Pelodiscus sinensis: one gene and its partners. The protein of the gene in region 1 interacts with the protein of each later gene in a pairwise test. Links are inferred from orthologs where the notes say so. Each region holds a gene or a part of one and is shown in the gene's direction. Other genes may lie near its edges. The genes, in order: TMEM79, RPRM, PLP2 and surfactant protein C-like.

Region 1 (8,347 bases):
ACACACTATGTAAAAAGCACTAATGAATGCTGTACAAATTATAATGTCACGCAGACAATGACTTGTTTATACTACTCTACATATTCTTCACTGAAATAGGGAGGGATAGCTCAGTGGTTTGAGTATTGGCCTCTGAAACCAAAGGTTGTAAATTCAATCCTTGAGGTGACTATTTAGGAATCTGGGGCAACTCTGTCAGGGATGGTACTTGGCCCTGCCGTGCATGTAGGGGACTGGACTTGATGACGTCTCTAGGTCCCTTCTGGCTTTATAAGATAGGTATATCTCCATATAATTTACATTCCAACTGATGGATGATAAATATTATAATTAGATGGTAAAAAGGAAAAAATCAGATTTTTTTCAGTAACCATGCATGGTGACACTTAAATGTTCATGTCTAATTTTGTAAGCAAGTAGTTTTTAAGCAAGCTGAAACTTGGGGGTACATTGATGAATCAAACTCCTGAAAGGGATATAGTAATCTGGGAAGGTTTAGACTGTACTCCCTTTGGAGCAGGGACTATCCCTTACTACGTGTGTGCACGCAGCTTAGCACAACAGGGTCCTGATTTCAGTGGAGGTCCCCAGAGTAACTATAATCTACTATATATTTGAGAGAGATTGTACATCTGTCCATCCATCTGTCTGTGAGTCCATTTGAAGACCTCCTCCTAAACGGTAAGAGCTAGGACCAACAAATTTGGTAAGCACCTTCCTCTGATCATAACTTAAAGCAAGATCAGGGTTTGATTTTGCCAGGACACTGGGATGTGCCTGGAATGCAATTGCTCATGAAATGGAAATCGCCATTTTCGCGATCGGGGCTTTTTTGCTCAAAACAAATCTGAGCTGTCTACACTGGCCCTTTTGCGCAAAAGCTTTGCGCAAAAGAACTTTTGCCCGAATGGGAGCAGCCTAGTATTTCCGCAGGAAGCACTGATTTCAGACAGTAGGAAGTCAGTGTTCTTGCAGAAATTCAAGCGGCCAGTGTAGACAGCTGGCAAGTTTTTCCTTCGGAGGAAAACCAAAAAGATTAGGGGGCTACAGCACATGACCTATGAGGAGAGACTGATGGATTTGGGTTTGTTTAGAGTGCAGAAGACTTACAATTTACAGTGGGGGAGCTCTCGGTTGGATATTAGGAAAAACTATTTCACTAGGAGGGTGGTGAAGTACTGGAATGAGTTACCTAGGGAGGGGGTGGAATCTCCATCCCTAGAGGTTTTTAAGTCTCGGCTTGGCAAAGCCCTGGCTGGGATGATTGAGTTGGGATTGGTCCTGGCTTGGGCAGAGGGCTGGACTTGATGACCTCCTGAGGTGTCTTTCAGCTCTAGGATTCTATGTGCTTCTCACCTGACCCCAAGCTGCTGTACTGAGAGAGGACTGGGATTGTCCTCTCTCCTGAGTGAAGACTGCATGCTGAACCCCTCATCCCCCACCCCAGAGCTTTAAATGAAGAAAAGAGTTAAGGACTCGAGCAACGCCAGGTAGATCTTCTAGTTCATAATGTAATCAGTCCCTAGGAAATCCACTTTGTATTGTAAGCCACACAAGCCTTCTAAAGTTCAGGGTAGATCAGTGCTAGGAGATGGGACCCAAGGGAGCAGAATTCAAACATATGTTTAAAATATGTTAACAGGCTGAATCAATGGGCATTCCACGTCCTAAGTAAAGTTCAGTTATCCACCCATTGGGCAGTGCTGTGATGGGATGGAGTGAAAGAAGCTAAATTTGGAATTTCTTTTCTGGAGTATTTAATTGCATACATTAATTTTGATCATTAGATCCTAAACGTAATCTGATGATGGGTTTTGGGGGGTGGCTAGGATAAACAGTAGCCACGTTAGGTCTATTCCCCCATTTCATTTCACTAAATTGCTCCACATCAAAACAAACCTTGGTGTGCTTGCTTGGCGAAGTGGCTGTGGATGTGTATTATCTGCTTCTCTCTGCCGCCAAGATCCTTGTGAGTTGTTCCAACTGAACAGAAATATTGAGAGCCCCTGGCTGGCTTCCTACGCTACGCAGATTAAGCACCCAAACTACTGTCCAATCCAGGGGTTGGTACATAGCGCAAACTAAATATTGATCTAAGATTCTGACACTGAAGTCAGCATTTATCCTGATGTCACATGTGCCTACATGCACACAGAGTTTATATTACACAACACACACCACACTTCTATATGCATACAGGCAGATCCACACGCGACAGCTCTAATGCCTGTAGCTATCACATTCACACATTTTGCTTTCAGCCTATACGGATACACACAACATACGACACACTTTTATCCACATAGAAAAACCCCCACACAGAAACCACATTTACACACCTATGCCTATTACATACACAACATATATACTTATATGTTCCCTATCCTTACACATATATGCACCAATACACACAGACACCACGTGGCACACACACACACTGCAAATGCACCAAACAGATAATACACACACAACGCATGTATATGCACACACACATCAAAGACACATGTGCAAACAATCCAGTCACACATACCCATGAACAGGAAAACACAACACACAAACCTGAATGCATAAGACAACACAACTATACACCACACTGACATCCCTTCACAACATGAGTATACGTAAGCATGTTAAATAATAAATAAATAATAATAATATATACTTTTATAAAAGGAGAAGCATCCGTCATACTCTCTGTCACAGAGAACATTTGAGAAGACTTGACAAGTTTCATGGGGAAGGCAGGACCCTAGCCAAAACTCCACCCCCTCTGCTGAGGCCCCGCCCCCACCATGGACAGGGGAACATAAGAACATGAGAACGGCTGTACTCAGTCAGACCAAAGGTCCATCTAGCCCAGTATCCTGTCTGCCGACAGTGGCCAGCACCAGGTGCCCCAGAGAGGGTGGACCGAAAACAATGATCAAGCAATTTGTCTCCTGCCATCCCTCTCCAGCCTCTGACAAACAGAGGCCAAGGACACCATTTTATCCCCTGGCTAATAGCCTTTTATGGACCTAACTTCCAAGAAATTATCCAGCTTCTCTTTAAACTCTATTATAGTCCTAGCCTTCACAGCCTCCTCTGGCAAGGAGTTCCACAGGTTGACTACACGCTGTGTGAAGAAGAACTTTCTTTTATTAGTTTTAAACCTGCTCCCCATTAATTTCATTTGGTGTCCTCTAGTTCTTCTATTTAGGGAACTAATAAATAACTTTTCTTTATCGGCCCTCTCCACACCACTCATGATTTTATAGACCTCTATCATATCCCCTCTCAGTCTCCTCTTTTCTAAACTGAAAAGTCCCAGTCTCTTTAACCTCTCCTCATATGGGACCGGTTCCAAACCCCTAATCATTTTAGTTGCCCTTTTCTGAACCCTTTCCAAAGCCAAAATACCTTTTTTGAGGTGAGGAGACCACATCTGTACACAGTATTCAAGATGTGGGCATACCATAGTTTTATACAGGGGCAGTAAGATATTCTGGGTCTTATTTTCTATCCCTTTCTTAATAATTCCTAGCATCCTACTTGCCTTTTTGACCACCACTGCACACTGTGTGGAAGTTTTCAGAGAACTGTCCACAATAACTCCAAGATCTCTTTCCTGATTTGTCATAGCCAAATTAGTCCCCACATACTGTACATATAGTTGGGGTTATTTTTCCCGATGTGCATTACTTTACACTTATCCACATTAAATTTCATTTGCCATTTTGTTGCCCAATCACTCAGTTTGGTGAGATCTTCTTGGAGTCCCTCACAGTCTGCTTCTGTCTTGACTATACTAAACAGTTTGGTATCATCTGCAAACTTTACTACCTCACTGCTTACCCCTTTCTCCAGGTCATTTATGAATAAGTTGAAAAGGATTGGTCCCAGGACTGACCCTTGGGGGACACCACTAGTTACCCCTCTCCAATCTGAAAATTTACCATTTATTCCTACCCTTTGTTTCCTGTCTTTTAACCAGTTCTCAATCAAGAAAGGACCTTCCCTCTTATCCCATGGCCATGTAATTTACACAAGAGCCTTTGGTGAGGGACCTTGTCAAAGGCTTTCTGAAAATCTAAGTATACTATACCTACCAGATCCCCCTTGTCCGCATGTTTGTCAACCCCTTCAAAGAACTGTAATAGAGTAGTAAGTCAGGATTTCCCTTTACAGAAACCATGTTGACTTTTGTCCAACAAATTATGTTCTTCTACATGCTTCACAATTTTATTCTTTACTATTGTTTCGACTAATTTGCCCGGTTCTGACGTTAGACTTACCGGTCTGTAATTGCCAGGATCGCCTCTAGAGCCCTTTTTAAATATTGGTGTCACATTGGCTACCTTCCAGTCATTAGGTATGGAAACCGATGTAAGGGATAGGTTACAAACCACAGATAACAGCTCAGCAATTTCCCATTTGAGTTCTTTTAGAACCCTTGGATGAATGCCATCCGGTCCCGGAGATTTGTTAACATTAAGTGTTTCTATTAAGTTTTTCTCTTCCCGGGAGAAGGAGGAGCAGCGCACAGAGCGCACACAGGCCCCCCACCACCACGGGGAGGGGAAGAGTGCAAGCACGTGCCCTAGCATCCCAGGAGCAGTGGGGAGGGAAGAGGCTGCACAGCCCCATCTATCCCCGTCCCCGGGAGCAGCAGGAAGGGAGGAGGCAACGTGGCTCCAGCATCCCCGGCCCTGGAGCAGTGGGAAAGGAGGGGGCCGCATTGCCCAAGCCAGATCAAGCCTCCCCACCCCCATGAACAGCGGGGGAGGGGGAAGGCCACGTGTATGTCTACCGTCGCAACGGGACGGGTAATAAAATAATAATAATAATAATACACTACTACTGCATGACTCAGACACGTATTACACAAACAAGCCTGCACAAGACATGGCTGCAGCACAGAGACATGCATACACAACACACAGGCACCACACAAACATGCACCCACCCCACATGCACAACACATGCCCACAACCTGTGGGAACAGCCTTTTCTGCCGACGGATTCAGCAGGTTGGGTGAGGCAAATCTGCCTCTGCCCCTTTAATTGTAGCCACACCTTGGCTGGCTAAACAGGTTTGAAGTCCAGGAAAAGGAAAGAAGCCTCAAACAGCGATCAAACCCCAGGACAGCCATCCGCAAAACAGCTCCGTTTCCACATGGCCCGGCTCAGCCCAGCCTGCTCTCCAAGTAAGCAGCCAAGCAGGGAAACCAGCTCTCTGCTTTGCTATGCTCATTTTCTCTTGCAGTCTGGTGGAGTGGAAGGGTTGTTCTGAAGAGGGGTACAGGGAGTTCTCTGGGGGTGGCGGGGTGTATGTGTGTGTGAGTGAGAGAGAGAAAGAGAGAGAGAGTGTCAGACTACTGCTCGGTGCCTCGGTTTCCCCATCTGCAATGTGGGGACAGTGCGCCTGCCCTCTTTCGTACGGAGATCTCTGAATGAAATGTGCTATGGAAGAAGCTAGGGACTATTCCTGGGTGTGCAAGATACAAGGCTGTCCCTACTGATAGGCAAAACACGCACCACAAAATTTGGGCCCCCAGTTTCATGGTGTCCTCTGCAGCCGCATGCTGTGTATGGGCTCCAGCCACCTCCAGCCCCAACCCCCAGCGGCAGCAAGCAAGGCTCAGCACCCAGGCCCCACTCACCAGGCGGCAGCAAGCAGCTCTCACGGGCTGGGGGACTCGGAGCAGGGGGCAGCCGCACAGTGGGCGGCTGGAGAGACGAGGCGCTTCCCCCGTGAACGTGCTGCTTCTCTTTGGCCAAATGCGCGTCCACCCGCTGCTCCTCTGGAGTCTCCTGGCCTGCGCCTCCCTCCCGGCCCTGCTCCCGCTTGTCAGCTCCACCATCACTACAGTAAATGGCGTCCGGTCCGGGAGAGGTGGCAACTCCTTTCCCCTCCCAGGAGGGGTACCAGTACTGGGATGCATCGAGCACCAGTACGGACAGCCCTGGCAAGAAACGTGTCAATACTTTACTTGTGGCTTCTTTGACACCCTCTCCTTCCACCGCTAACGCTGTGGCAGAAGGCATCGCAAGTGGCTCTTAATCTCCCCCGTATTGAGCCCCACATGGACACGCTCCTATGTCTCTTGAAAAGCAGCAGGGCTAGATCCTCCGCGGGGGTAGCTCCCAGACACCGGCTGGGAATCTGGCTCCCCAGGGATCCCTGACGGGTGCACAGAGTTCAACATTGGGGTGAATAAACTAGCTCTCCTCCTTGGCAGATCTCAGCCAATCCAGGAGGGGCTGCCAACATTTCCCGGCTTTGCCCCCATGCGTAACACGACAGGGGCCGTGTCGCCTCCCAGTGCCTATTCTCTGCCAGCCTGGGGGACATCATTTCAAGAAAGATGTGGAGAAATTGGAAAGGGTACAGAGAAGAGCGACAAGAATGATTAAAGGTCTAGAGAACATGACCTATGAAGCCAGGCTTCATGAACTGGGCTTGTTTAGTTTGGAAAAAAGAAGATTAAGGGGGGACATGATAGCGGTTTTCAAATATCTAAAAGGGTGTCACAAGGAGGAAGGAGAAAATTTGTTCCTCTTGGTTTCTGAGGACAGGACAAGGAGTAATGGGCTTAAAGTGCAGCAGGGGAGGTTTAGATTGGACATTAGGAAAAAATTCCTAACTGTCAGGGTGGTCAAACACTGGAATAAATTGCCAAGGGAGGTGGTGGAATCTCCCTCTCTGGAGATATTTAAGAACAGGTTAGATAGACATCTGTCAGGGATGGTGTAGACGGAGCTTGGTCCTGCCTTGAGGGCGGGGGGCTGGACTCGATGACCTCTCGAGGTCCCTTCCAGTCCTATGATTCTATGATTGTCTCCTCTCCTATGGGCTAGCCTACTTCAATCTCCTTTCAGTTGCTGGGATTGGTGTGCGGGTGGTATCGGTGGCCCGTGAGATACAGGTCAGACGAGAAGATCTGGTAGGGGTCCCTTCTGGCCTGCACCTCTCTGACTCAGTGGTATTTTAATTATTGGTCTGCTGCCTGCAGTTGAGAGGGGCCTGCCTCCCAGCTCTTGCAAATCAGCATTCAAGCCACTCCCTCTAAGGCTGGAGAGATTTGCACGGTGTGTGTGCAGCTCAGGGACGCACTAAACATTTTTGCTCCTCCTCAGTTTAATAAATGTCCCTCCAGGTAAGCTCATGGCTATCGGCAAGTATTTACCTGCCTGATGAAGCAAAGGGCCCTGTTAAACTGGATGGGCTTTGCCAGAACTTCTGAAAATCAAGCCCTTCTCTTTTAACTACCATCCAGGTTCCAGAGCCCCAAAATTTGCATCTCTATTCCCAACATTCAGGGATCTTTATGTTCAACCAATAAGGGGCCAGAGCATAAATGCAGATTCCAATTCAGAAGTGTTTTGGATCCAAGATTTAGGTTCCAAGAAGGGATGTTAAAGACTAGTCGACTAATCCACTAGCCAATAAGCATTTGCTTATCGGATAGTCTTTTGACTAGTCGACTAATTGATTTCTCTGTCCCCCTTGCTGCTTCTATGAGATAGAGGCAGAAAAGCAGAGGGGAGGAAGGGGTACTTCAAAGTGGCAAGTGTTTCACCCCAAGGCAGTGTTTCAAAGGAGCAGCAGCTGCACAGATGATCTGTGGATCAGCTGTGCGGCGGCGGCCACTTTAAAATGCCATTTCTGGCATTTCAAAGGGGCAGCTGTTGTGGAGCCCAGGTCCAGCTGGGCACTCCCAGCTGACTCCAGGCTCCCCGCTGCATTTCCCCACAACCCGGGATTAGCTGGGGAGATCCCGGGTTCTGGAGAAATTCCGTGCAGAGCCCGGGATCAGCTGGACAGTCCCCAGTTGACCCTGGGTTCCACTGCCCCTTTGAAATGCAGGGAGGTGGCATTTCAAAGGGGCAGTGGAGCCCAGGGTTAACTGGGGACTCCCCAGCTGATCCCAGGCTCCGCGCAGCACTTACGCAGAACCTTGCACTTCCCACGTCCCCCGCTGACCCCGGGATCCATGGCTTTGAAATACACAAGAGCCCTCGCAGGCCGCAGGGGACCCTTGTGCATTTCAAAGCAGGCACCCGCGTACAGCCCGGAGTCAGCAGTACTTCCTGCTGGCCCCAGGCTGTACGTAGAGTTCCACTTTCCTCCTTTGAAATGTACAAGAGCCCCAGTGGGGGCTCTTGTACATTTCAAAGGAGGAATGCAGAAGTGCCTTTCGACTAGTCAATGGAAATTCCATCGACTAGTCGACTAGTCAATTAACCACATTTTAACATCCTTAGTTCCAAGATCTACTGGAGGCAGGGGCACAGAGTTCTGATCCAAAATCTGTGACAAGTTTGGAGTGGGTGTTTTTGAAAATACATCTCATTATATCCCTAG
Region 2 (6,931 bases), on another chromosome or scaffold:
GGGGAGACTGGGGAAAGGAGGTGGGTGAGGGGAAGAGAGAGGCTGGGAGAGGGGAGGGCAACTAAAATGATCAGGGGTTGGGAACAGGTCCCATATGAAGAGAGGCTAAAGAGACTGGGACTTTTCAGCTTAGAAAAGAGGAGACGGAGGGGGGACAGGATAGAGGTCTCTAAAAGCATGAGTGGGGTGGAGAGGATGCATACAGAAAAGTTCTTCATTAGTTCCCATAAAGAAGGACTAGAGGACACCAAAGGAAAGGAATGGGTAGCAGGCTTCAAACTAGTAACAGAAAGTTGTTCTTCACAAAGCAAAGAGTCAACCTGTGGAACTCCTTGCTGCAGGAGGCTGTGAAGGCTACAACTAGAACAGAGTTTAAAGGGACGTGAGATCAAGTCATGGAGGCTGGGTCCATGGAGTGGTATTAGCCAGGGGGTAGGAGTGGTGTCCCTGCCCAAGGCTTGTGGAAGGCTGGAGAGGGATGGCACGAGGCAAATTGCTTGGTCACTGTCTTCAGTCCATCCTCTCCAGGGTCCCTAGGGTTGGCCGCTGTCGGCAGACAGGCTACTGGGCTAGATGGACCTTTGGTCTGACCCAGGACGGCCATTGTAAGCTCAGGGCTCAGGGTCGGGGGTCTCACTAGACCCCCTTGATTCTCTTGCACACCTGCTCCTGGGTGGCCAGGCTGGCAGCTCTCCTGCCCTAGATGGCCACTTTCCTGTGCCTAGTGCGGAGATCATGGACGAGGTCCACGATGTCTGCACTAGCCCAGGGGGGTGCCCGCCTCTTGCGGTCCCAGGCAAGCTCCTGGGAGCCACCAGCCTGGTCCCGGGAAGAGGGGGAGGGCTGGGGGGCATCGGGTGGCTGGCTCGAGCCGTGCCAGGTGCAGGGTCTGCTGGCTGGGTGCTGGCAGGCTTGCACCTGGCACGGGCACCGTAGCCAGCCCGTGCCCCTTTAAGGGATCCGGGGCCGGGAGGGGGGCAGAAGAGTTTCCCTGGTGTTGGCCAGAGTGGCCACCAGGGCAAGCTGGGGAGGGCTAGCCTCCCACTAGTTCGAATTAAGGGGCTACACACCCCTTAATTTGAACTAGCTAGTTCGAACTAGGCTTAATCCTCGTAAAATAAGGTTTTCCTAGTTCGAACTAAGCGCTCCGTTAGTTCGAATTAAATTCGAACTAACGGAGCACTAGTGTAGCGCCTATGAAAGTTAGTTCGAACTAACTTTGTAGTGTAGACATACCCCCAGATACTAACCTTTTTTAAAAAGCTAAAAGGACATTAATTACTTTCCAAATAAGCCATTTCTCTAACTGCTGTGGACATGTGGTACCTTCCTGACTGGAAGTGGAGATGGTGCACTCACAGAGTTCATCTACACTGCACCAGAATCTCGAAATAAGCTATGCAACTTGAGCTACACTAATTGCATAGCTTATTTTGAGTTCATTTCAAAATAGCTTATTTTGTAAATCTACACAATGCCAAATTTCAGAATTAACCACTATTCTGAAACGTCCTTGTGGAACAAGGTTTGTTGGAATAGCGAGACCATTATATTTCAAAATAATGGGCTTGCTTAAAAGATGCGGAGTAGCTATTTCAGGATGCCAGAAGTATCCTGAAATAGCACCACAGTGTAGACGTACCCACAGAGAATTATGCCCAGGATGCAGGGTTGTCCATAAAACAATCTTGTCATTAAGGGGTGCTCCAAAACTTTGTCTAGAGCCCTGGCAATATCAGTTGTTGAGATAAGAATCATATGGGGTTTTCTAAAGATTTTGTGTGTCTTCCACTATCCACTGGATAAAATAACTACCAGCTCTTCATCACTGATTAGAATTAATATGGTGGTTTGTATACATCAGGGAAGACAAAATGCCCTCTTCCTATCCTGTCTGATAATGTGAGAATGACATCAGAGCTCATCCAATTTATGACTTCATAACAGATAGCTCTGAAGGGGGCACAGGGAAAGGATTGGCTATGTCCCTTTTGGCTTGCCAAGAAATTTCTACATGCAGGTAAGTCTGCAGCAAGAGTGCAGGAAACAGAAGAAATCTTTGTCTCAGGAAAGACTTTGAGACACCAACAAACTTTGCTTAGAAGAAGAGTCAGGGCAGGCCTGGAATGAGGAAAGGGATTATGGTATATTTGGGTTCTTTCAGCACTTAATGGCAGTTTGATGTTAGCTCATCAGCTAGGGATTGCACTGCAGGAAATGCCACAAGGAGGGTCAGAGTCATCCCTCTGGATCACTTGCCTGGAACTCTGTAGATTTATTCACAATTTGACAAAGACAGGCCACTTGATTGGGTAACCTTTTGCACAAACATATCAATCATTCTATCTATCAATTTCACAATGTGTCTTTGCTCTCTGTGCTGGACAGCCCTACCAAGCAGATTCTTGTAGGTGTTTCAGAAAATTAAATTTCAATTCCAGCAGGAGATTGCAGGGATGACAATTATAGCATCTCACAACAAATCAGGGATTTGGTACTGGATCAACAGCAAGACAATATGCAAAAACCTCCTATGGGGGTGTTTGGGCCCCATAGGAGTGAAATTCTTCCAACCCAGCTTTTCAGCCAGCTGGATGAATTGTAAGGCTGCAAGGAGACCCACCAACAGGCTCTAGCAATGGACACATTTCTGCTGTCTTGGGTGTCATGGGTCCATTTGTTGACCCTACATTCTCGCTATATGTTAGGCAACAGGCAACAAAAATCCTGGATGCATTGGTGACAACAGGAATTGCCCTTCTCCAACCTTATCTTATTTCCAGAGCTGGAAAACACCATCAGTAATCCAGAAGACAGGCTTCACACACAACAGATTCTCTCCTCCTCGAGTCATGGAAGATTTACAAAGAGCCTAGAGGTTAGCTCATGCTGTACAAGACAGAAAGCTATTAATTTCAGCCTGGTCATTCGACACTTGCTGGTTTGTTTGTTTTTCATGACAAATAGATTCTGTTTGTATCTGTGTGCTTGGTGATGAAAGTCCTTACCAACCTCCACCTCTGCCCCTCCCCATTACTGGGAAAGTAAGACATACAAGATAAACTGTTCAATTTAGCCATTCAGACTGACATAAGGTCAATTTTTGAGACAAAACCATGTGGAATTCAATTTGAAATGCTTCAGCTCTTACTCCCAAATACACAGTTCTCCAGAAAGCAGGGAAGAAGGATACAGAATTAGGTCTACAACTCTAATGGCACCGTAAGTGATGATGCATAGCATCCTGTTAAACTATTTAGCTACTCTTTAGGATTTTAGGAGAATCAGCTGCCAGCAACCTGCAATGTGCTTATACTTTTGTGCAACAAAAAAATTTCTGAAGATTTCTAACTATGGATACTTGCATGTTTGGGACCTTAGAACTTTGCTGTTTAGAAGCAGCTGAATGGAGCAAAGGGAGACACGTGGCTATTGCGGACACAAGTAATCATATGGCACCTGCATTTTCAGCTAATAAATGGGTCTGGTTAAAACATCTGGCTGATTTTACATCTAAACCAGGCCTGGGCAAAATACAGCCCGCGGGTCAAATCTGACCCACCAAGCCACTGGATCTGGCCTGTAGACACAGCGGGGAGCCCTAGAGAGGCTCCCCTGTTTGCCCCGCAGCCTCACACACTGCTCAGAAAAGCAGCTGCGGGGCACTTTCTTTTTAAAAACTGAACTTGGAGGGGAGGGGAGAAGGCTTCAGGTGTAACTCCCATCCCAGCGGCCTGCTTCTGGACCGAAACTTGTCAATGGGAGCTGCCTGTTTGAATAACAGGAAGCACACAAAGCAGGGGGCGGGGCAGGCAGGCTGGCTGAGAAACTTTTTAAACTCTGCAAGCATTTAGCTCTGCAAGGAGGCAGGCTGGTTGGGCTTCTGGCTGGTAAGTCTCCTGGACATAGCCTGCCTCTGGCACCCCAGCCGCTCTCTTCCCCAACCCTCTGTCTTAACATACCCAAACCCTCCTGAACCTATACCCCAACCCAGATCTGGCACCCCAGTCTCCTGCCTAGGTTACAATCCAAACCCCTGTACCCCAGTCACCTGCCCTAGATCACAACTCCCTCCACCGAAACTCCCTCCCTGATCCCATCCTCCCTCCTGCACCCCAATCCCTTACCCCAAGCTCCCTTCTGCACTCAACCTCCATCCCAGACCACACACCTCCTCCATTAATACCATGGAAGAGTGTGACCCTCAACCACTTTCCAAAATCTTGGAGTGCCCCCCCATCAAAAATTATTGCCCACCCCTGCTGGAGACACTCCTATTGTGTCGATATAATCCAGATAATGATTCATCTGATCATAACAGCACAGAAACCCCACTGATCTGACTTGCGTATCTTGATGAACTAGCCAATTTTTGGTCCCACCCCTTGCAAATCTCTTGCATACATAAAGAGCAAATGTAGCTGATCATCTTACACCAAAAGAAACTAACTATACTACCATAAGTGAATCCCAGAACAAAGGTGCTGCAAAAAGCTAGATCCTGCCAAGTTTGGTTTAAATGGACTTTTGTGTGTTGTTTTGTATGTGTGTATGTGAATCAGCCAAATTCCAATGTCTAAATAGAGAAGATGTTCACATACTCTTGCTGCACACTATGAATCCTGGACCCAGTGTCCTCATGAAACTGCACCAAGAAAAGTTGGATCCAGCAGTTCGATTTTACCCTGTCCTGACAAATGTTGGCCACCCCCTGGGAAACTGCACCTACAAATACAAACAAGGTATCACTGCTGCCAGTTGCAGAGGCACTACATCTAGACAGCAAAGCTAAGGGAGGGGTGGGAATGCCAGGTGTGATGCAGCCCAAAGTTAGCTGGGCCCAGCAGGAGACAGGTGCCAGCTTTTGCAGTGGCTTTGTGCCAGGCAGCTGCAGGGGGTGGGTGGAATCTGTCCCCTCTACCCAGCTGTGGAGAAGTCCCTGCAGCAGCCAAGTCCTTCCCTCTGGGCTGCCACCTCCCCGTCCCCAGCCCCAGGTGGGAGCCCTCCAGCCCTTTACAGCCAAATCTCCAAGTCCTCCCATGCCAAGGCGAGTGGGGCTGTGACTCCAGCAGCAGGCTCCTGCCTTTCCTGCCTGCAGCGGCAGCCGGAGCCGGGCAGGGGCGCTCTCCCCTCGGAGCTGGAGGCCGCAGAGCCAGCGAACGCCTCCCCCGGCGAGTGGCTGCCCTTCCAGGCGCAGAAGTTCTCGCAGCCCCAGCAGAGCCGGAGGAGGCGGGCGAGCGCAGAACTCGCCCGGAGCGGCCGCTGCCTGGCCCCGCACCCCGCCGCTCCCTCCCTCCCTCCTCCGCGGCCGCTGCTGCATGAGGCGCCCGGGGCTGCGCTCCGGGGCCACCTGTTCCGCTCCGCGCCCGCCCGTGCCCGCCGCTGGCCATGGACGCCTCGCTGGGCAATCAGACCGGGGCGGCGGGGCTCTTCGCCGCCAACAGCAGTGACTCCCTGGGGAGGCTGCTGAACTGCTGCACCCCGGCCTCGGTGGTGACGGACAACGGCTTGGCAGGGAGCGGCCCGGACGAGCGGAGCCTCTACATCATGCGGGTGGTGCAGATCGCGGTCATGTGCGTGCTCTCGCTCACCGTGGTCTTCGGCATCTTCTTCCTGGGCTGCAACCTGCTCATCAAGTCCGAGGGGATGATCAACTTCTTGGTGAAGGACCGGCGGCCGTCCAAGGAGGCGGAGGCGGTGGTGGTGGGGCCCTACTGACTGGCGAGCGAACAGGTGGCACCGCCGCGCCGGCCCCCGTGGCCTTTTGTGCGAGGAGGCCAGCCCCGCCCCGGGACCTGCCGCCGGGGGGCTCTTTCCCGGCTGCCGGGAGTCGGTCCAGGATCTCCCGCGCCTGCTGCGCGGGGCTGGCGGCGCCCGAGGATGGGTGGCTGGGGGCGAGGACAGCCCCGGCCGGGCAGCCCCTGCGTGTTACGGCCGGAGCGGCGCCTCCTGCAGGGGCTTGTACATAGCGGCGCTGGCGCGCCGGGTGGGTGGGGGGCTGCTGCATGGCGAGTGTTAATTCCTGTGGTAAACGAGATTTGCTTCCGAGGGGCTGCGGGAGCTCAGCGGGGACTGGAGATCGGCGCCTGGGCTCGGCGGGACGCGGGGGGTACAGCGCGTGGCCTCTGGCCCAGCCCCGGCGATGGGCGAAGTTGTCTTTCTGCGGGAGCGCTCTCGGCTCGCCAAGTTTGAACCGGTCCCTCCTGCGCCTGCGAGCCGCTCCGCTGAGCCCTCGCTCGCCACGGCCCGGGCTGCCCCGCCACACGCGCTCGGCCGGTTGTTGTTGTTCTTTTCCTGGTTTCATTGGCTTTAATAAATACACCTTAAACTTTTAGACCCTGCGCTCTTGGGGTCCTTGTGCGCTTCCCCCGCCGGCCACCCCGTTCGCTCTCGGGTCTGCAGGCGCACCGCCTCCGCTCTGCCCGGGGGGGGGCTAGAGAAAACACGGGTCGAGGCTCGGGAGAGGGCAAAGGGGATCAGCCCAGGGCACAACCCAAGAACCGCGACTATCGTAACGCTGCGGGAATCGAACGGCAACGCGCTTTGCCTCGCAAGTCTGCTCCCCCCCAGTTTAGGAGCTCGCGGGGCTTAGCAGAGTGCCGCTACAGGAGGTCAGTTTCACCCAAGGGTCGTTTTAAAGCGCGTCCTCCCGTGTTAGGACGGAGCTGGGGGGAAGGCTACGCGTCTGTCACAGGGTGGGATCCACCATGAAAAGCATGTTACGCAGCTAGTAAAAAGTGGGGAGTTGTGCTCTGCTAGGAGTCATCGCTCCTGTAATTAGCTTTAGAAAGGGAACTTTGATGAAAAAAGTATCGATTGAATCAATGTCCGCGGCAAGTCGATTGAGCCTGAAATACACAACACAGTCAATACCTCGTCTTTGCAACTCAGGAATCTGCCGTTTTATTTTGCCTTTTAAAACATCCTTTTG
Region 3 (7,219 bases), on another chromosome or scaffold:
GGGCCCCTCCTGGTGGCAACTAACGCGTGGCCCAGGCAAGAATTCCAGCCCCCTTCCTGCCCTGCCTCCCTCCCCCGCACTGAGCGGTGCCTTCAGCCCCCCATGCCAGGGTGTAGGGCCCACCGTGGGGCAGGGCTGCCTGTCAGCTGGGTGCGTGCGGCCACTCAGCTCCAATGCCGCCCCCGCTGGCTAGCAGAGCCCCCCCCAGCTGGCAGCCTGCGGTTGCATGGGCGGTGCCCATCTGCAGACCCCGCGGCGCACGGAACAAAATGTTTTCCACAGGTGGAGAGAAAAGGAGAGGCACAGGGTGAGCTGGTGAGGAGCGGGGCTGGTGGGCGGGGCGTCCCGCCGCTGGCTCTGCCCTTGAACTCCCCCCCCCCAGCAGAGACACCCCGGCAGCCACTGCTGGCAACTTGGTCATTGCTTTAATAGGCTGCCCCAGGGCTACTGGTATTGCTGGGCAAGAAAGAGCAGACCAGGGCAGGGAGTGGTTAGAGCAGAGACTGCTGGGAGCCAGGGCTCCTGGGTTCTCTCCCCGGCCCTGGGAGGGGAGCGAGGCCAAGACACCTGCCCTGGGGGGAGCCGGAGAGCAGTAGGGGAGGCAGCTCAGACACAGGGTAGCCACTGAAGCTCTCAGCCCCCTCCAGGTTGCAGGCTGCTGTTTGCCTCCCCCCCCCCCCCCCCCGGCAGGCAGTAGAAGGGGAAGGGAGAAGCGTGATGGGGTGGAGCGGAAAAGGCAGGGGTCAGGACGATGGATCGAGGGGACGGTCCCGGATTAACAGCAGGCGCTCAGCTCAGATTCGGGCCTGGGCCCCCTTGCAGGCCTTGGGGCCTCTGGCTTGGCTGCCCCGGGTGCCAGCTGTTCCAGCGGCTGTTTGCTCCTGCATCTGGCACAGCCCAGCCCAGCCTCACCACTTCCTGCCAAGGCTCTGCAAACACTGGCTAGGTTGAGTCAGAGGCTGGCTCCGTGCCCAGTCGGCCACCTCCCTGCCTGCAGCGCCTGACCTGGACAGGGGGGCCAGGCGGGGGCCGGCCCGAGCATGGGGCGGGCGAGGCAGCCGGGGGGACGATAAGGGGGGAGATGTGGATGGATGGGTGGATAGAAGAGTCAGGGGCAGGGGGGTGGACGGTGGGTCTCCCCTCACTGAACATCGACCTGCTCAGCACACCTGGCAGACGCAGCAGCGTCCCGGCCCAGCGAGGGGCTGGTGTTCCCGTGTGTGGCGGGCAGCTCCCCTGGGAACAGACGCCGGCCTGTGCGGGGCCGCCCTAGCCAGGCACCGTCTGTTTGCAAGGTGAGTTTGCATTCACCGAGCTTGTGCTTTTTCTGGAGCCGGTTGCCAGGCCAGTCTCGCCTCCCGGGGAGCTGAGGTACCTCCAGGACTGGTTGAGAACCACTGTCCAGCCTTCGCCTCTAGAACAGCCAGGCTGGATCAGACCCAAGGCCCATCCCACCCAGCGTCCGGCCTGCCCACAATGGCCAATGCCAGGTAACCCAGAGGGAGGGATCACACCAGAGAACCAGCCCATTACCCTCCCCGATGCCCATTCCCAGCCTCTGACACACAGAGGCCAGGGATACCCTCCCTACCCAGCCTGGCTAACGGCCGTCGATGGACCTAGCCTCCATGGATTCATCTTGTTCTTTCTTGAACCCTGTTACAGTCCCGGCCTTCACAACATCCTCTGGCGAGGAGTTCCACAGGTCAACTGTGCACAACATGAAGAAAAACTTCCTTTGGTTTGTTTTAAACCCCTAGTTCTTGTGTTATGGGAACAAGTAAATAACTTTCCTTAGTCTCTCCATGCCTGTCATGATTTATAGACTTCGATCAGATCCCTGTCAGTCTCCTTTTCCAAGCTGAGAAGTCCCCGTCTTTTTAATCTCTTCTCATACGGGGCCCGCTCCAAACCCCTCAGCATTTGTGTCGCCCTTTTCTGAACCTTTTCCAATGCCAAGAGACCTTTTCTGAGAAGGGGCGACCACACCTGGACGCAGCATTCGAGCTGTGGGCGTCCCGTGGACTTAGAGAGGCAATAAGATATTCTCTGTCTTATTCTCGATCCCTTTTTGAATGAATCTCAGCACTCGCTTTGCTTTGTGACGGCCGCTGCACACGGAGGGGATGTTCGCAGAGAACTATCCACCTGACCCCAAAATCTCGCGCTTGAGTAGTTGTGGCCAGATTAGTCCCTGTTGTGCATGTAGCCGGGGTTATTTTTTCCATCACTTTGCATTTACCAGCATTACATTTTATTTGCCATTTGGTTGCCCAGTCACCTAGTTTGGTGAGATCTCTTGGAAGCTCTTCCCACTCTGCTTTGGTCTTAACGGTCTTGAGCAGTTTGGTGTCATCTGCAAATGTGGCCACCTCGCTGTTTACCCCTTTCTCTGCATCATTTATAAATAAGTTGGACAGGACGGGTCCCAGGACAGACCCTTGGGGGACCCCACTTGTTACCTCTCTCCACTAAAACTGACCATTTATTCCTCCCCTTTGTTTCCTGTCTTTTAACCAGTTGCCAATCCATGAAAGGACCTTCCCTCTGATCCCATGACAACTGACGTTACTTAAGAACCTTTGGCGAGGGACCTTGTCAAAGGCTTTCTGGAAATATAAGTGCACTGCATCCACTGGATCCCCCTTGGCCACATGGGGGATGATACCAAACTGGGTGGGGTTGCGACTTCTTTGGAGGATAGGGACATAATTCAAAATGACCTTAGCAAGTTAGAGAAATGGTCGGAGGTAAACAGGATGAGGTTTAATAAAGAGAAATGCAAAGTGCTCCACTTAGGAAGGAACAATCAGTTCCATACATACAAGATGGGAAGCGACTGTCTAGGAAGGAGCATGGCGGAAAGGGATCTAGGGGTCATAGTGGACCACAAGTTGAATATGAGTCAACAGTGTGATGCTGTTGCAAAAAAAGCAAATATGATTCTAGGTTGTATCAACAGGTGTGTTGTAAGCAAAACTCGTGAAGTCATTCTGCCGCTCTACTCTGCACTAGTTAGGCCTCAGCTGGAGTACTGTGTCCAGTTCTGGGCGCCACATTTCAAGAAAGATGTGGAGAAATTGGAAAGGGTACAGAGAAGAGCGACAAGAATGATTAAAGGTTTAGAGAACATGAGCTATGAAGCCAGGCTTCATGAACTGGGCTTGTTTAGTTTGGAAAAAAAAAGATTAAGGGGGGACATGATAGCGGTTTTCAAATATCTAAAAGGGTGTCACAAGGAGGAAGGAGAAAATTTGTTCCTCTTGGTTTCTGAGGACAGGACAAGGAGTAATGGGCTTCAAGTGCAGCAGGGGAGGTTTAGATTGGACATTAGGAAAAAATTCCTAACTGTCAGGGTGGTCAAATATTGGAATAAATTGCCAAGGGAGGTGGTGGAATCTCCCTCTCTGGAGATATTTAAGAACAGGTTAGATAGACATCTGTCAGGGATGGTGTAGACGGAGCTTGGTCCTGCCTTGAGGGCGGGGGGCTGGACTCGATGACCTCTCGAGGTCCCTTCCAGCCCTAGGATTCTATGGTTGTTGACCCCCTCAGAGAACTCCAGTGATTAGTGAGGCAGGATTTCCCTTCCCAGACACCCTGCTGACTCCCCCAACATTGTCAGGGGTTCTCAGACTTGTGATACGGCGCCCCCCCTCTGAGTGGCTCGGGCCCCCGGGGGTCGGGCCCCGGTCTGAGAAAGGCCGCGTTATCTTCATACCCTTTGCTCTAGTTTCAACTCATTTGCCCGGTTCTGAGATTAGGCTCCGGCATCCGACGCTGCTGGACTTCTCCCCTGCGCTCCACCGCCCGCTCAGCCCGGCTCCAGCGCCCAGCGGAGCCACCTTAAGCGGGCTCCAGCGCCCTCCCGCGCCACCTTAACCGGGCTCGAGCGCCCGCCCCGCTGCGGAGCCCAGAGCCTTTCTTGGCCATGGCGGGGGCCCGCCCGGGCCGCGCCCAGCCCCACCCCCGTCGGCTGCCGGCGCCAGTCCCTTGCCAGCCGGAGCCCAGGGGCTCTGCGGGTCATGGAGCCGTCGGGCGGGCAGGGCTGCGTGGGGCGCTGCGGCGCCTTCCTGCGCTCCCCCAAGGGCATCATCCTGGCGCTGGAGATCGTGAGTGGGGGCCCGGGGCGCCCACGTGGCCGGCCGCGGCGGGGGGCGCCCGGGCTGCCCGCGGGAGGGACCCAGGCGGCCAGTGTGATGGGGGGCGGGGGATGCCGCGCCCTCCCGGCTCGGGGCGGGCAGCGGGGTCTAGCGGTGAGAGCAGCGGGCTGGGCCCCTCCCGAGCCCTTCCCCGCGCTGTTATTTCGACACCCCGAGCTTCCCGCGCCGGGGCCATGTTCCTGGGTGCGGCTGCCCGGCGTGTCCGCGGGGGGCTGCGCTGGGGTGCGCGCAGCTGAGCCGGTGCGGCTTCCGCGTGTGCTGCGGAGCGGGGTGTGTGTGGCTCTGGGAGGGGTGTTACACGGTGTGTGTGTGTGTGTGCGGCTCTGGGAGGGGTGTTACACTGTGTGTGCGCGCGCGGGAGGGGTGTTACACTGTGTGTGTGTGTGTGTGCGGGAGGGGTGTTACACTGTGTGTGTGTGTGTGTGTGTGTGTGTGTGTGTGCGGGAGGGGTGTTACACTGTGTGTGCGCGTGTGCGGGAGGGGTGTTACACTGTGTGTGTGTGTGTGTGTGTGTGTGTGCGGGAGGGGTGTTACACTGTGTGTGTGTGTGCAGGAGGGGTGTTACACTGTGTGTGCGCGTGTGCGGGAGGGGTGTTACACTGTGTGTGTGCGGGAGGGGTGTTACACTGTGTGTGTGCGCGCGGGAGGGGTGTTACACTGTGTGTGTGTGCGCGTGTGCGGGAGGGGTGTTACACTGTGTGTGCGCGTGTGCGGGAGGGGTGTTACACTGTGTGTGTGTGTGTGTGTGCGGGAGGGGTGTTACACTGTGTGTGCGCGTGTGCGGGAGGGGTGTTACACTGTGTGTGTGCGCGCGGGAGGGGTGTTACACTGTGTGTGTGTGTGTGCGCGCGCGCGGGAGGGGTGTTACACTGTGTGTGTGTGTGTGCGCGCGCGCGGGAGGGGTGTTACACTGTGTGTGTGTGTGTGTGTGTGTGCGGGAGGGGTGTTACACTGTGTGTGTGCGCGGGAGGGGTTACAGTGTGTGTGTGTGTGTGTGTGTGTGCGGGAGGGGTGTTACACTGTGTGTGTGTGTGTCTCTGAGAGGGGTGTTACACTGTGTGTGTGTGTGTGTCTGAGAGGGGTGTTACACTCTGTGTGTGTGTGTGCACGCGCAGGAGGGGTGTTACACTGTGTGTGTGTGTGTGCGGGAGGGATGTTACACTGTGTGTGTGTGTGCGCGCGGGAGGGGTGTTACACTGTGTGTGTGTGTGTGCGCGCGTGCGCGTGCGGGAGGGCTGTTACGCTGTGTGTGTGTCTCTGGGATGGGTGTTACTCTGTGTGTGTGTGTGCAGGAGGGGTGTTACACTGTGTGTGTGCGTGCGCGGGAGGGTGTTACACTGTGTGTGTGTGTGTGCGCGGGAGGGGTGTTACACTGTGTGTGTGGGGGGAGGGGTGTTACACTGTGTGTGCGTGTGTGCGCGCGCGGGAGGGGTGTTACACTGTGTGTGTGTGTGTCTGGGAGGGGTGTTACACTGTGTGTGTGTGTGTAACTTGGTGGGAGTCACAGGCTGTGCTGGTGTGTAGCTGTGCGGCAGGGCGTTTACCATGTGGCTGGCAGGGTGCCAGAGGGTGTATGTAGCCATGTGCTGGTGTGTGCAGACTTGGGGCAGGGCCTGTCACGCGCACGTACATGTGTGTGTGCACGCGCATCTGGAAGGGGTATTGCGCGCACACACACACTGTACCTTGGGGGGAGTCTCCGGCTGTGCCGGTGTGTAGCTGTGCAGCAGGGCATTTACCGTGTAGCTGGCAGGGCGCCGCAAGGTGTATCTAGCCATGTGCCGGAGCGTGCAGACTTGGGGCAGAGCCTGGTGTGTGTGTGTTGTGTAAGGAGCAGTGCAGCGTGTACCCATGTTTGGAGGGGAGGGCACAATGGGGGGTGTCCTTGGTGGGGGGACTGTGTGCGGGCAACCCTGGGATCTCTCTATTTGGGGAGACAGGGGGGTTATAGGCCCCCCCATCTGGCCTTTCCCTGTGCCTCACCCCAAAGAAATGATTAACTCCCCAGCTCCCCCACCCCGCTCTCCTACAGGGAAAAGTGAGCCCAGGCATCCTGGCTTCCAGCCAGCTCCTGGCACCCCTAGACCTGGCTCCCAGGCCCCCTCGCTCTAACCACCAGACCCCACTGCCCTGGCTTGCCTTCTTAGAAAGGCAGGGCTCCTTTCAGGCACGTTCTCCCAGGAAGGAGACAAGATGTTTACAGGGCAGAAGCAACAGGCCCCGGCAGGGCCGAGGTGTGACTGGGCAGGGAACACACGCCCAGTTCTGTGCCCTGCCCAGACCCGTCTCCTCACGTCCCGCTTCCCCACCCCTCTGCTGCTAGCGGCCCAAGCTCCTTGCGGCAGGGTGCTGGCTCTTTAAGTACTCGCTGTAATCCCCCTCTGCTCCACCACCACCCCCCCACTCCGCCTGTAGCGGGCACTGTTCCCTCTGCTCCGCCTGTAGTGAGCACTGCCCTTTTCACAGCTCCCCTCTACTCCGCCTGTAGCAGGCACAGCCCCTTTCACCTCCCCCTCTGCTCCACCTGTAGCGGACACTGCACCCTGCTCTGCCTGTAGCGGACACCACCCCTTTCACAGCCCCCCGCTCTGCCTGTAGAGGACCCCTTTTGCAGCCCTCCTCTGCTCCACCTGTAGCGGGCACTGCCCCTTTCACAGACCACGCCACTCCTTCCGTAGGGGGCACACTGCCCCTTTAATAGCCCCATGCGCCCCACCTGTAGCAGGTGCTGCAATTTTTAAGAACAGCTCAGGTGCCTGCTGTAGGTACTGCCCCTTTAAGACCCCGTCCTCTCTGCCTGTTCTGCACACCGTCCCTTTAAGGCCCTCCTGTCCCATCCGCCTGTAGCAGCCTCCAGACCTGACACTATTTGGCAGGGGGAGCGGGTGTCATGTAATGGTTGCCATGGTGCCCAGCCCCACCTCTCCCCTCCTAACACTCGCCCCTTTGTCAGCCCGCGTGGGCTGGGATTTTGGGCCTCCAGACGCGACAGGCTGGAACATTCCCCAGGCGCCCTGAATGCCCCACCCGGCCCACGCGGGACCCGGGCTCCCACT
Region 4 (7,245 bases), on another chromosome or scaffold:
GGCAGGGGGCGGGGGCAGGCCTGATGCATGTCCTGTGCTCACACTCTCACACACACACTCACACTCACACACAGATGCACACTCACACACATTCACACACACAAACACAGATGAACACTCACACGCACATGCACACTCACACACACTCTCATACATGCACGCACACACACACATACTCACACCAACACACACAGATGCACACTCACACGTACACACTCACTCACACACGCGTGCCCACACACACAGATGCACACACAGAGACGCACACTCATGCACACACACACAGAGATGCACACACACACACAACGCACCTGCACGTGCCATGCAGCAGATGCACACCCCAGACAAATAGGGGCACCGCCCCACACACATCGAACACACCCCGAGCACAAGCCGCCCTTCCCCACCCTGGCGATGGAAAAAAAGGTCTGTCCCAGCAGGGCCCTGCAGAGATCCAGCAGGGACGGGCGCAGAACAGAGGAGACTGCATCTCGTTCTGCCCGGGTTCCACCCCGGCCAGGGAAGGGGAGACCCACGGGCGCAGGGAGGGGCGCTGCGAGGTCTCTGGGGGGTGGCCCGATGCCACGGCAAAGGGCCCAGTCAGGACCTAGTGCTTAGTGAGAATCAGCTGTGATGAACACAGTGGAAGGAAAGGGCTGCCTAGGGCTGTGCTGGGGAGCTGCCCAGGAGGTGGCAACACAGGGAGAAAAGTGTTTGTGTCTCCCTCTCCCTACACACACGCACATGCTTACTGCCCTTGCACCAGAACACGCACACGCTTACTGCCCTTGCACCAGCATGCATACACACACTTACTGCTCTTGCACCAGAACACGCACACGCTTACTGCCCTTGCACCAGCATGCATACACACACTTACTGCTCTTGCACCAGAACACGCACACGCTTACTGCTCTTGCACCAGCATGCATACACACACTTACTGCTCTTGCACCAGAACACGCACACGCTTACTGCTCTTGCACCAGCATGCACACACATGCTTACTGCCCTTTCACTAGCATGCACACACACCCACTTACTGCCCTTGCACCAGCACGCACACACACACTGCTCTTGCACCAGCATACACACACTTCCATTTGTGTATACACTGAATTCGTTTGCACAACGCACACATTGCACCTCTGTGCACGTCCCGGATGATCAAAGACTCCCAGGGTGCACACGATGTGCGGGCATACAACCCCCGTCCCCGTGCTCACGCAGCCAGACGTGCACCGCCACACACACTGCCACAGGCCACGCTCTAAAAGAAAACGACCCCCACCCCGAGGGGCAGAGACCCCCAACAAGGCCGTGCAGGCACGGTGATCTCATGCAAACTAGCAGCTCCAGGATAGTCCCGACAACCTGCATGCACCCAGCGGGTTATTACTGAACACACATCACATAGATACCCCCTGGAATCCCCCCGTCTGTGTTAGCCAACCCACAACCACCCCATCCTCTTGCACCCCCAGAGAATGTGCTGCCTTTTGGGGAACCCCCAAGAGCATCAAGGACCCTCAGCCCGCAGATACCCCCCCCGCTTTCTCCCTCACCCCAGCAGAGGCTCCCCTAACCCCCCGTATCCCACCCGCGATCCCCCCTTGCCCCGCTCCCGGCGGCTCGGCCGCTACTCACAGGGAGATGACGTCCGGGGGCAGGTTCCTGGGCACCGCCTTGGCGTCGATGCAGAAGGCAGTGTCCCGGGTGCAGGAGCAGCTGGGGGGACACAGGGGCAGCTTGGGGGCTCGCTTGGAGCCCGCCGGCAGCCAGAGGTAGGCCAGGCTCAGCAGGAGGAAGGCAAGGACTCGCCCCCGCTGCATCACTTTGCCTGGCTGCAGCTCAGCCATCGCCCTGACCTGGCCTCCCCCACCTCCAGGAGAAGAACCCCCCCGGACCGTTGCTTCAGTTCTGCCCTGGACCCCTCCCAGCGCCCCTGGCCTGGCTGTCAAGGCCGGGAGCTGCAGCCAAGAGCCGGAGCAATCCGGGGAGCGAGGATGCTACAGTCCATCTTGCTGCTCTGCAGAGCACCACACTCAGCTGCCAGAGGGGGGGTGGAGCAGGAGTGTTTTGCTGCCGAGTGATTCGTCTAAGTTCTGTCGCTGCTGGGGATCTCGTCGGTGCACGGGGAGGGCGTGAGCCCATTGTGCACACTAGGGTGTGCACGAGTGTGAGCTGCCTGCACTCCCGCGCTTGCAGGGGTGCACGTGCTGCACGTGCCAGTGTGTGGGTGTGTGTCCCAGGTGTGAATTCTGCGCGCATGTATGAACGCATACGTGCGTCTCTCTGTGCGTGCGAAAAGTGAAAAGACACGTGCAAGAAGGCTGTGGTGAATGTTTGTAGCGTGTTCGTGGCAATGTGGTGTGTACACAAATATAGGATGGTGTGGTTCCTTCGCAGGTGCGGGGGTCTACCTGATGGCGCACGCCCGGATTGTGTCTGGATGGGACTGCGAGCTTCTGTGCGTTTGTGTGTGCTTGCACGAGCCTGAGTTTGCACATTCTGTGGGTGCTTGTGTGCATGTTCTGTTGGTGCGTGTGTGGACACACGCACGGAGGCCGGAGCACTTGTGTGCGTGAACACGTGTGCACGTGCACGAGTGTGCACTGAGTGCTCTTGTGCGTATCCGGAGTGCAGGGTAGGGCAGTTACCACACAGCCTCGTCCGCTGGCTTCTGGCCCTCGCCAACTCACCCTCCCCATCACGCCCCCCCTCCACGCACACTGAGACCTGCACCTGCAGCAGGATCCTCCCCGTGAAGCAGGGTCTCCCTGCCTGCCCATTTCCTTCAACCTCTGCCCCGCAGCATTCGACCTACCGCCGATCCCCTCCCCCATCGCCCTGGCAGCCACCTCCCCTGCCCCCCCCCCCCCCCCCCGTCCCACACGTCCTTGCGGAGCCTCCTGGATAATTCATGACGAGCGGCGAGCGGCACCAGCCAGCAGTGGCTCCGGTCCCAGGCACGGCCGTCTCCTGGCTCCACAGAGGCAGTCTCAGCTCTGCAGCTGGCGCCCCGGCCAGGGCACTGACAACACACAAACAAGGGGCTGGGGGGCCGGGCAGAGGCAGGGCAGGGGAGGAAGTGGGGCTGGAACTCCTTTTGGGGTGGGGGTGCTGAGCTGCACCCCGCCCCCACCACCCCGGCTGAGAACCGGCTGCCAACTCTCCCGGACCGGATTCCACCGCTGCAAACGGCGTCCGGTCCAGGAGAGCTGGCGACGCTCACGCCCCAGGCTGGGGGCAGCTGCAGAGCCCTGGGCCGACGGCGGGACCCCGGAGCTGGTGGGGCCAGTGGGCAGTGGGACCCCGAGGCCCGACAAAGCCCGTGGGGCTGGTGGAGGCAGGACCCCGAGGCCCGGCAGAGCCCGTGGGGCTGGTGGAGGCAGGACCCCGAGGCCCGGCAGAGCCCGTGGGGCTCGGGGAGGCAGGACCCCGAGGCCCGGCAGAGCCCGTGGGGCTCGGGGAGGCAGGACTCCGAGGCCCGACAGAGCCCGTGGGGCTCGGGCAGGCAGGACTCCGAGGCCCGGCAGAGCCCATGGGGCTGGTGGAGGCAGGACCCCGAGGCCCGGCAGAGCCCGTGGGGCTCGGGCAGGCAGGACTCCGAGGCCCGGCAGAGCCCATGGGGCTGGTGGAGGCAGGACCCCGAGGCCCGGCAGAGCCCGTGGGGCTCGGGCAGGCAGGACTCCGAGGCCCGGCAGAGCCCGTGGGGCTGGTGGAGGCAGGACCCCGAGGCCCGGCAGAGTCCGTGGAGCCAGTCCAAGTGCCCCAGCGCCCCCCCCCCCCCCCCGCGAGGACCAGGCGCTCCCGGCGAGGGCTCTCGCCAAAGGCCTTTGATGTGCGGCTCTTGCTTTGAACCTCTGAAGCACCTTCCGGTGCCAGAGGGGCTCAGAGGCGCGGGGCTCCGAGCCAAGCCTGGCTCTGGCCACATTGGCGGGCCGGAGACTCCCGCCAGCCCCTCGGAGCCGGGGGGACTCTGGCCTCGCAACCCCTGCGGTTGCGGCTCTCGGGCGCTCAAAGGCCCACGTGCCCGGAGACAAGAGTCCTTGGAGCCTCTCACCGGCCACGGGCCCGGGGCTTATCGGAGACCTGCCTCTGAAGGGCCCCGGGAAACAGGTTCACAAACAAATCCGAAGGGAATTAAACACTTGATGTGGAGCCGGGAGGGCCTGGGGAACGCCAGTGTCCCACCGCTCCTCCGCCCGCCTGCCCTCTGCTCCTCCACTAGCTCAAGCCCCTTATATAAGCCCTTCTCCAGCCACGACGGAGCACGGCGGGATCCACAGAACAAGATGGATGTGAGCACCAAGGAGGCGCTGATAGAGGCCCCGCCGGTACGGCAATGAACACAGGCTGGGCGGTTTTGCGTTTGTACAGCACCTAGCGCAACGGGGTGCAGGGCCACAACCGGGGCTCCAAAATGCTACGTTAATATAAGTAATAACGACTGGGGAGGGGGGTCCTTTCTCTCCAGCATACACCCCTCCCCCCTCCCCCGGTTCTGCTTGCTGTCAGCGTTTTTCTCCGTTCCCACAGGACTACACCGCCACCCCGAGGGTCCCCGGCTTCGCTTCTCGCCTCAAGAAACTCTTGATCGTGGTGGTGGTGGTCGTGGTCATCGTGGTGGTGGTGCTGGGCTTCCTCCTCATGGGGCTGCGTTTGTCCGAGAAGCACACGGAGACTGTAAGTGGGGCGTTAAAACACGGGTCCCCTCCCGCCAGGCGCCCGCGCAGGGGGAGGGGGGGCTGCTCGGAGCCAGGCCTGGTGCGGAGGGGCAATGCGCCAATGCGCCAGAAGCAGATGCCGCCGGGCACAGCGGGCGGCCACCGCATGGGGCTGGTGCAGCCACGCCTGGAGCTCAGGCAGCGGGGGAAATGCGCCCGAGCTAAGACGCCGGAGCAGCCGGGAGAAGAGGCTGCTCCAGCGCCTCCGTGGGAGCCGGTGGGGGTGTGGACAAGCAGAGGGAACCCCAGAGGAGGCTGGGCCGTTGGAGGACTAGGGTCTGTGGTCAAAGCAATGACCGACCTCAGCAAAATTTCTGGGGTTCCTTGGAACCTCAGGAGGTCACCTCACCCCCTGCCCAAAGCAGGACTAACCCCGATTCAACCATCCCAACCGGGGCTTTGTCCAGCCGGGCCTCAGACACCTCCCGTCTCTTTGCCGGCATGGACTCAGCAGGGGCGAAGGGAAACGGCGCATCTTCAGAGGCGCGTCCTCAGGCAGGCCCTGCCTTCCCAAAGCTGCCCCAGTGCCCCGGCGACCCAGGAGGGCTGGGGCAGCTCGGCTCCCCCGCTGCCTGGGAGCGCTGGGCGGTAGCACGGCATCCCCGGCCCTCCATGTGGCCAGGAAGGATCGGGCTAGGTTTGCCAGATGGTTTAACAAAAAATATCAAAACCCTCCCCTCCGCCAAAAAAAACAACAACCAACCACTGGGAAAAAATTCTTCTGAGGAAAAAAAAAGGGGGAGACCAAAGTTGTTAAGCAAAAAAAAAAAAAAGGTCACTGCAGCTTTAAATTCCTGCCCTTCTCGCTCCCCTGCCCTCACAAACGCCTTTACATGTCCAGTATTCTCTGGTTTTTTTTTTACCAGACAGAAGGCCAAAATACCGAACTGTCCAGGTGAAAACCAGACACCTGGCAACCTTAGATCGGGCTGGGGGTGGGAGGGATTGGGGGGGGGGGATGCTGAAGGGGCGGGGCCTCAGGCAGGAGGGGCGGGGCCTCAGGAAGAAAGGGCGGGGCTGGGGCTTGCCTTCCCCAGCTGGGTCTTCATCTGGCGCCTATGGTATAAGCAATGAACGGCTCTGGCTCTGGCTCCCCGCCGCACACACCTCACCCCGGGGGTGTCCTTGTCCCCTAGGTGTTGCGAATGACTATCCAGAGCCTGGACGGGGAAGGGTCCCCGCAGCAGCTCTCCATACGCGGGAAAGAAAAGACCGGCACTTTCTACGTCACGGCAGGGATCAACTCGTCAGCCACCGTGGTCTACGACTACCGCCACGTAAGCAGGGCCAACGGGGCAAAGCTGGGTGAGGGCTCCGGGGAGCGTCCCCGGCTCGGCTCAGACCTCAGGCAGGCTGGGACCCGGCTGGCCGCAGGCTGGAATCGCTGGAGGCGACCTCGCATGAGCGGTAGAGGAGCCGGGGTTACTTTCCGCCGGGCCCACATCGCCGTCCCAGAGGTACCCAGAGGTCCCAGTGCTGCACCCCAGAGACGAGCAGCGTAAACCCCAAGATCTGCGCGTGCCCCAGGTTTGGGGTGTTCCGAGTCCCACCGTGGGTTTTGGTCTTGCAAATGCAATCTCCAAGGAGGCTTGGATCCCGTTTCCAGCGACCCAGCCCCCCACGCTGCGGACAGGGACACATCGGCCCGGCCCTTCTCCAGCGGAGGGGGCAGGAGGCTGCCGGGCTGAGCAGAGGGGACGGAGAGGGTCACAGTGGGGGAAACAGAAGGGGCCGGTTTGCAGGGTGATTTGGCTCCCGGGGATCTGCCAGGGTTTAACGTCACCCTCTGCTCCGCCTGCAAACAGCTGCTGATTGGCTACCGATCCTGGCCGGGCCGGGCCTGCTACCTCCGCCGGATGGACCCGGAGAACATTCCAGGCCTGGATGCCATTGCCAAAGCCTTTCAGCACCGCCAGGTGAGCGGCCGGGGCCAAAGGGGGCAGAGGAGAGCGCGGGGAAGGGCCGTGAGACGTTTGTGAGAGATGAAAACCCGGCGGAGGCCGCTCAGAGTCCCTGGGAGACCGTCGCACCGGCGGGCTGAGCTCCCCCGGGAATCAGTCCTAGAGACAAACCCAGGAAGGAAGCAACCGGGGAGCATTTCCCGGCGCAGAGCTGGCATTGCCTGCAGTGGCTGCGGCCGGGAGCCCGCGGGGGCCGCTGTCTACCCCTCGCCTCCCTGCTTTCACTGCTAGGCGATGCTGCCTCTCTCCTGTGCCAGATGGATCAATGTATTGGCAAGGAAGGCTCATCTAATGTTTGAGCAAGGGGAGTGTTGCTAATGAGCATTATTCCCTCTCATTTTTTCTAATTTTTTTCAATCCTCGCGTGCCTTTCTCCATCCAGGTGTGGAATAACATTTTTTTCTACGCACCAAGGCACGTGCAAATGTGCACCACCAGCAGAGACACACCACCTCGCTGTGGGGGCTCTGCGAATCAGCAGGGTGGATTTGAATCTCTTCTGTGTGGTTGCACAAGTGCCCAGCATACAGGGAACCCTGCGCGTAGGGGATAAG

Evidence for each region.
Region 2: the proteins of TMEM79 (region 1) and RPRM interact in binary tests that used the Homo sapiens proteins (3 or more experiments, as listed by UniProt). The two-hybrid records come from large-scale screens. The link is inferred for Pelodiscus sinensis from reciprocal best matches to the Homo sapiens genes TMEM79 and RPRM.
Region 3: the proteins of TMEM79 (region 1) and PLP2 interact in binary tests that used the Homo sapiens proteins (3 or more experiments, as listed by UniProt). The two-hybrid records come from large-scale screens. The link is inferred for Pelodiscus sinensis from reciprocal best matches to the Homo sapiens genes TMEM79 and PLP2.
Region 4: the proteins of TMEM79 (region 1) and surfactant protein C-like interact in binary tests that used the Homo sapiens proteins (3 or more experiments, as listed by UniProt). The two-hybrid records come from large-scale screens. The link is inferred for Pelodiscus sinensis from reciprocal best matches to the Homo sapiens genes TMEM79 and SFTPC.

What each region holds. Positions count from the first base shown.
Region 1 is NC_134734.1:16,208,149-16,216,495, reverse strand, and holds the start of TMEM79 (transmembrane protein 79), read left to right. Parts: upstream 1-5,036; 5' UTR 5,037-5,186; intron 5,187-8,347.
Region 2 is NC_134717.1:29,121,344-29,128,274, reverse strand, and holds RPRM (protein reprimo), read left to right. Parts: upstream 1-5,011; 5' UTR 5,012-5,388; coding exon 5,389-5,718; 3' UTR 5,719-6,334; downstream 6,335-6,931. UniProt on the Homo sapiens protein: May be involved in the regulation of p53-dependent G2 arrest of the cell cycle. Seems to induce cell cycle arrest by inhibiting CDK1 activity and nuclear translocation of the CDC2 cyclin B1 complex.
Region 3 is NW_027465877.1:87,075-94,293, reverse strand, and holds the start of PLP2 (proteolipid protein 2), read left to right. Parts: upstream 1-3,948; 5' UTR 3,949-4,025; coding exon 4,026-4,112; intron 4,113-7,219. UniProt on the Homo sapiens protein: May play a role in cell differentiation in the intestinal epithelium.
Region 4 is NC_134738.1:11,603,934-11,611,178, reverse strand, and holds the start of surfactant protein C-like, read left to right. Parts: upstream 1-4,019; 5' UTR 4,020-4,157; coding exon 4,158-4,340; intron 4,341-4,542; coding exon 4,543-4,689; intron 4,690-5,866; coding exon 5,867-6,007; intron 6,008-6,535; coding exon 6,536-6,646; intron 6,647-7,245. Other genes in the region: LGI3 (leucine-rich repeat LGI family member 3), read right to left, coding at 1,648-1,859. UniProt on the Homo sapiens protein: Pulmonary surfactant associated proteins promote alveolar stability by lowering the surface tension at the air-liquid interface in the peripheral air spaces.